Linked DNA regions of Saccharomyces cerevisiae S288C. The protein of the gene in region 2 interacts with the protein of the main gene of each other region in a biochemical or structural test. Each region holds a gene or a part of one and is shown on either strand. Other genes may lie near its edges.

The links.
Region 1: the proteins of CMK1 (region 2) and PET122 form a complex in vitro, tested with the Saccharomyces cerevisiae proteins (2 studies listed by BioGRID, with this or other methods).

Annotation. Positions count from the first base shown.
Region 1 is NC_001137.3:473,253-476,711, forward strand, and holds PET122 (Pet122p), read right to left. Parts: upstream 1,554-3,459; coding exon 789-1,553; downstream 1-788. Other genes in the region: YER152C (2-aminoadipate transaminase), read right to left, coding at 1-736; membrane insertase OXA1, read left to right, coding at 1,768-2,976; GTPase-activating protein BEM2, read right to left, coding at 3,093-3,459. UniProt on the Saccharomyces cerevisiae protein: Required for expression of the mitochondrial gene for cytochrome c oxidase subunit 3 (COX3). PET122 seems to work by directly interacting with the small ribosomal subunit to promote translation initiation on the COX3 mRNA.
Region 2 is NC_001138.5:171,711-175,634, forward strand, and holds CMK1 (calmodulin-dependent protein kinase CMK1), read right to left. Parts: upstream 2,168-3,924; coding exon 827-2,167; downstream 1-826. Other genes in the region: IOC3 (Ioc3p), read left to right, coding at 1-575; glycogen (starch) synthase GSY1, read right to left, coding at 2,555-3,924.

The DNA.
Region 1 (3,459 bases), on a different chromosome or scaffold from region 2:
TCCTTAGGGGCGGAGAGGGCAGCTCATCTGAGGGCGTCGTGTAATCTAGAATATCGTACACGTCATCAGTGATTATCAGCATGTCGTACTTCCGAGCGATGTCGATAAGTCTGCGTCTGGTCTCAAGCGAGTATGTGTTTCCCGATGGGTTTGCAAACGTCGGGATGCAGTACATAACGTACCTGTAGACCTTCTTGGTCAACTTTGGCCCCTGAATCATCTCTGTGGTACTATGGGGCTGCGGCTCCGCCTCGTGCTGCTCAAGGGCAGAAATCAACGACTCGAAATCAATCGAGTCGTGGCCCTGCTCGTTGATGGCGGTCATTTTCCCCTTGAATCCCGCATCTGTGAAGCAATTGTTGATCAAGAAATATGTTGGCGTGATGATGAACGCCTGCCTGGTATACCCGTTATGTGGCAAGGTTGTTTGCAGAAGGATGTTCAGCATGCCATACGAAGCGCCGCTATTCAGATTCAAATAGTCTGCCCGTGTCCTGCTCCGAGCCCCATTTTCGAACTTAAACAGCTGATCATTCAGAAACGTACAAATCTGCTCTCGCACCCACAGGGCACCTTCGTCCGAACCGTACGTCAGCGGATGCCTGTTATAGGGGTCGTTATCGTACTCCCTGGTCTCGGGCCCCAATATAGCCGCAGTCGCTTGAATTACTGCTTCTCGAGGCAGCAACCTCGAGCTCGGATGGCCCTTGAAGAAATTGATTTCCTTGTATTTCATTACCGCTTGCTAGCACGCGTTGTTCCTTGTTACAGCGATGCTCCACCCAGATTTATGTGTTGATTTCAAATCCTCTTCTCTTTATCACTAGTTCGGCATCCAGCAGCGGCAGCCCGCGATAACTTTGACGGAACTCCGCCAGCACACGTCGCGCCTGCGCTGGGCCGGGAACATGCCAAAGGACACCAGCCAGTAGTAGCGGTAGTGACCATTCGTTCTTTATCACTAGGGGCTGTCGTCCAAACAACGCCAGGGCAGCTGCTTGCTCATCTTGCTGCATCAATGCTATGCCCATAGCCTTGGTCATTTGCGGGAAGTCGCGCAGCCTTAATGGCGGCTGCCCTGGTAGCGTATCCATCTCCTGCAAGAATACCTTCCACTTTTCCCTGAGCGCCGTGGAGTGCATTGTGCCACGCGCAAACGCTTCGACTTTAATCCGTCTAAGCTCATACTCAATCAGTTCATCTTCTGGGCTGGTGCGACGATCGCGATTCATCGCCTGGTAGTGCTGGAGGAACTGCGCGGGTAAGAAGAGCCTGTCCTGGTACAATGCTACGCCAGCCATTTCACATAGCAGGCGGCCCTCTACTGGCAACCGGCGTGGCATCACATGCTGATACCACATGTATGCTATAGTGTCGGCATGGGCAAGCGCAGCGGCTCGCGCTAGCATCGTGTGCAGCAGCTCCACATCCACGCTGGTCTGCTGCTGCTGACGCAGCAGCGCCAGTGCATCGGACATTTTCCCGTTTAAACTGCTTAACAGTATTCGCGACCGCACATCGGTGGTCACCAGTCTTTTCGTGATAGTCAACATGACGTGTTCCGTTCTTATGTTCGAGCTAATGCCTCGTCTGCTCTTCCACGTTCAGATGTTCCCTTGATTGCTCAAAACACTCTCAGCAGGCCGAGATTTCGATTTTAGCCAGCAGTACGGAAGTAATCCGAGCCATGAAAAATTTAACCAGTGGCTCGCCCTCTATACGTATCTGTTCACGTACAAGCGGAGCCACAGAATAACCTCCCCGACGATGTTCAAACTCACCTCTCGACTCGTCACGTCAAGGTTTGCTGCCTCTTCCAGACTGGCCACCGCTCGAACCATAGTATTGCCCCGGCCCCATCCGTCATGGATCTCTTTTCAGGCCAAAAGATTTAATTCGACGGGCCCAAATGCCAACGATGTCTCGGAAATCCAAACCCAGTTGCCTTCCATCGATGAATTAACCTCTTCAGCTCCTTCTCTTTCCGCTTCTACTTCGGACCTTATCGCTAACACGACCCAAACAGTGGGCGAGTTGTCCTCCCATATAGGGTACTTAAATAGCATTGGCCTGGCCCAAACCTGGTACTGGCCCTCGGACATTATCCAACACGTCTTGGAGGCCGTTCATGTTTACTCTGGGTTGCCTTGGTGGGGAACTATCGCGGCCACCACCATCCTCATTCGATGCCTGATGTTTCCCCTCTATGTCAAGTCCTCTGATACTGTTGCTAGAAATTCCCATATCAAGCCCGAGCTGGACGCCTTGAATAATAAGCTAATGTCCACTACAGATTTGCAACAAGGTCAGCTAGTCGCCATGCAAAGGAAAAAACTGCTCTCCTCGCACGGCATTAAGAACAGATGGCTGGCCGCACCCATGCTACAAATTCCAATCGCCCTTGGGTTTTTCAACGCATTGAGACACATGGCTAACTACCCAGTAGATGGGTTCGCTAATCAAGGTGTCGCTTGGTTTACAGACTTGACTCAAGCAGACCCTTACTTAGGTTTGCAAGTAATCACTGCCGCTGTGTTCATCTCATTTACAAGGCTGGGGGGTGAGACTGGTGCTCAACAATTCAGTTCTCCCATGAAGCGTCTTTTCACTATTCTACCGATCATTTCTATACCGGCCACAATGAACTTATCGTCCGCTGTGGTCCTCTACTTTGCCTTTAATGGTGCCTTCTCCGTCCTACAGACAATGATTTTGAGAAACAAATGGGTTCGTTCGAAACTGAAGATAACAGAAGTAGCTAAACCAAGGACTCCTATCGCTGGCGCTTCCCCCACAGAGAACATGGGCATCTTCCAATCATTAAAACATAACATTCAAAAGGCAAGAGATCAGGCGGAAAGAAGGCAATTGATGCAAGATAATGAGAAGAAGTTACAAGAAAGCTTCAAGGAGAAGAGGCAGAATTCCAAAATCAAAATTGTTCACAAATCAAACTTCATTAATAACAAAAAATGAATAAAGGCTCTATATCTCTCTGTAAATATAAAAATATAAAACTCAAACCCTCGATAGGCGGGACCAAATTTTTTCTCTCTCAGCAGTGGATTGTATACATTTACCACGAAAATTGTTTATTGCTTGAAATAATCATTTGGATTCTTAATAAAATCTTGCAGGATTGTCTGAACTGCACCTAATCTGGACCCCATGCTGTTGGCTAAGTCTTCTTGGTTTATAAAACTCATGGAAAATACAATAGCCAAGTTTGATGCGTCCATTTTATTATTTACAACATGCTGATGTACTTTATTCAAATGAAATACAATTCTTTTCAAAGTTTGGTAATAGCATGTAGGTAACTTTTGGAGTAACTCATTCATCATTCTCTTGTATTCTTCATTTACCATTGCATGTGCTTTATACTTAATCGCCAAATCGGTAAAGTCGTTCACCATAGCATGAGAAAATAAAGAATCTGGTAACTCTCTTAAATACATC
Region 2 (3,924 bases):
TGAGTGCCCAATTCAAATTGTTTTACCATGACACACCATCGTTGGCGCATGATGTTGCACGAGGCAGAAATACATCGGGGAAGGTTTATTGGTATGAATTATGCCACGATTCAGCAACACTGCTGGAGTTCTTGGAGTTCTTGGACTATAAAATTGTTAAACCTCAAGATGAGAAAAAGGAGGGAAATGAAAAAGAAAAAGAAGCACTGAATAATGAAGCGCACATATTGGAGCAGAAATCTACCACTGATAATAATCCCTCCATAAATACAAACCCGCTACCAAAAGACGCAAAATATAACACTGCGAGAAAGAAGTTACAGATATTAAAGGAATTTTTATCTGATTACTATTTCATTCTTCGTCAGTTTGAACAAATGAAAGTGCAATTTGCAGACATGAAGCCAGGCAAGAGACAGTTGAGAAGGATACAGCGACAGACTGTAAACTATAATACGGAATATGATAGCGAGGAATATGTCGATGATGAAGAAGACGACGAAGCTGATATTTATGATGACAACGACAATGATTCTTCTTTTGATGATGGTAGAGTTAAAAGGCAGCGCACTTAGACAACTAGCTTTCAACGAACGTGAAGATTGTGAAACTCCTTACAGGCTGCATTTCGATTAATTAAGTAATGTAAAATTAAGACTATTAGTACATAATTAGATACGCGTATCTTTTCAACTAAGGCATAAAAAAAAAAGGTAGAAAGTGAGGACGAAAAAGTGCAAAATATCAAAGTCAAATCTTGCGCATATTCGAGCTTACAAAGTCATTGAAGATTTATTCGCCAGTGTGGTAAAACGGCATACTGTTATCATTCTTCTGTTTTGGTATCCTTCCCCTCTGGTTTCTCCTTCGCCTCATCCAAAGACTTTATATCACTCCCAGGAAGATCGCTATCAGAACTACAGACTCTGTTAATATTTAAAAATTTTTCCTTTTCGGCAAGCACTGTGTTAACTAATTGTGCAAAAGCTTTGCTGGTTAACTCGGACTTCAACTTAGACTGTTCTTCTTCTGATAGCTTCTTGGATAGTTGACTGGTATCCGTTGCTTTCAATGGAGGAACTGAACCGTTTGCTTGACTTCCTTCGTCAAAATCTGAATCACTCTCTGTCTGTTCAAGATACAGATCTCTTAATTTCTGGATCTTCATGTTTAATCTGACTCTCTCAACAGAATTACGGAACTTTTGACGAGCATCCAATCCTTCCTTTAACCCAGGCAATAAATTGTGCGTCTTCAATTCGGTACAAATAATCCATGGATCTTCCAAGAGTTCTGCGGCGGTCGGTCTCTTTGAAGGATCCAAATTAAGAGCCTTCAAGATGAATTGTTTTGCTTTATTGGAAACGGAATCCCAATAAGGCCTATGAAACTTCACTGGATACTCACCAGTTGTGCATTCGTCAAGGAAATCTTGAACCCTTTCGGCTCTAAACGCCGAATAACCGCAAAGCAAAGTATACGTAATGACACCTATCGACCAAATGTCGCAAGGTTTACCATGACCGTCCTGAGTAAGTACCTCTGGAGCCACGTAACCCAGTGAGCCTGCCGGCTTATAGAGGAGTTCCTCATCACTTTTCAATCTCTTTGCGATACCAAAATCAGCAACTACCAGTGGAGATTCGTCACTTTTATCTATATACAGTAAATTTTCCGGTTTCAAGTCCCTATGAACAATATTCTGAGAATGCATATATTTGACTGCGCTCAATATTTCAACCAAAATTCTCACTGCATCTTCCTCAGTGAACTTACCCTTCTTCAAAATCCTATCGAACAATTCACCCCCTTTGGCTAATTGCGTGATAATGTAGAACTTGTCTTTTGATTCAAACCAATCCTTAAATGCCACTATATTTGGATGATGCAGTCTTTGTAAAATGTCTAACTCGTCGTATAAAGCCTCTAGCTGAACCTTGTTTCCCTTTAGTGCTTTCTTGATCAGGATTTTAACGGCCACGTCCTCCCCTGTTTCAGTGTTTTTGGCTTGTCTCACCACACCAAATGTACCAGCACCTAATGTCTTCCCAAAAACATATTTTTTTTTATTCACGTACGAAGCAGGCTGCACATGTGCCATTTTACCTTCAGAATCCTCCTCTGTTTGTTTTGGGGAGCTCTCCTTTTCTGAAACTTTGTCGTCCATAGTAATTGACTCGTTATTTTTTCTGGTGTCTTCCAATATTATATAATTGTGAGTTCTCTACGAGAATTGAAACCATTTATACTCTGGCTTGTAGTCGATGTGGCTTTCGTTCTTTTTATCCCCTGCGTAGGTAGCTCGGCTGCACCATTCTAAACGCGGGGGGAGTTTCTTTTTTTTTTTTTTTCAGCCTTTTCTTCGTAAGCAAAGTATCCCACGTAAAAGGTTCCTTATACTAACACATATGTACTGTAAAGGTAAAATTACTTCTATTTTTTCTACTGCTATTATTTCTATGTACTTATACAAGAATAACAGAACGTGCAATACTAAAATTAATTTGATGCTCAGCTAAAAGAGTAAGATATGTTAGCAGAAGTTAAGATGGTTTTAATTATCCTCGTAGTATGCAGACGTATCGTTGTCATCATCGTCATTGTCGATGGCTCCATTCGTGCTCAAATTAAAATAGTCATCTGCATTATTAGCATCTTGAAGGGTACCTAAATCGCCCGGAGTCATGTAAACAGTACTATTGGACCTTACTTTGGGGGATCCGGGTACACTCAAAGGCCTGGCAATCTTGAATTTCTTGCCACCGGCAAGAGTATTCATATTGGCGTCACTAATTGTTTCACCCACCAGTTGCTTGAACTGCTCTGGATAGGCCCTACGAAGACCCAACTGTCTAGCCTTAACGTATTCCAACCCCATTCTCTTCCAATCTAACAAGTCTGATAGTCTTTCGGTTCTGTTTCTTTGGTTGATTCTTTGTCTTCTGGTCTTGTTTACAAACTCTTCCATGTAGTCTGCTAATTGCTCGACAGATTCATCAGGGCTCTTGAAACGACGGTCTACAATATAAATACCATAGTCTTTCGCTTGGTCTGTTTCAATCAAGTCTTCCATGTAGGCACCGAACCCAGAAACGTTTGTTGTGATAGATGGGACACCCATGACGGTACATTCTGCTGGCGTGTACCCCCATGGTTCGTAATAGGATGGAAAAACACCCAAGTGACAGCCGCGAACAAACTCGTCATAATCCAAACCAAGGATAGGGTTATTGGCGTTTAAGAATTCAGGATGGAAAATCACTTTTACACGATCACTCGAATCATTGAATAATCTAACATGTCTAATTTGGTTTAAAATTGGATCGTTAGCATCATCGCACATGTTATGTGTGACTACCGGAGGCAATTCCCCGTAAGGTCTTCTCAGCGCCAATACCCTTTTCTTCAGCAAAACCTTTTCAGAACTCTTCAACAGCTCATCTAAATTAGTGGGCAACTCTGATTCTAGGCCATTATGAGGGTATCTCATCGTATGCTCGAAAATTCTCTTCCCAATGGATGCGGTGACCTCATTAACAGTATTTTCCAAAGATTTTACAATGGCTTGGCTTTTCAGTGCCTCCACAGTGAAGGAATTGGTTTTGGCAGGCATGATCAAAAACGCTACCACCGTCTTCTTGGATCCAGAAACCTTCAATCTGTAATTGAGACGAGCCAATGATTCAATGAACATGTCAGCACCTTTGTTTTTGTATTCATATCTACCAGCGATAAAGAAATAAACTGTGTTGTCTAGATCGAAATCAAAACAACCATGGAAATGGCCTCTGACGAAATCATTAATTTTGTCCTTTTTCAGGGCATGCAGATTTTGAAATTCATGTACTGCTTGAAACTTAACAACGTTCAAACCATTGGGCAAAATGCCATCCGGTTTCCTCTTCAACAAATGCTCCGCTTCTA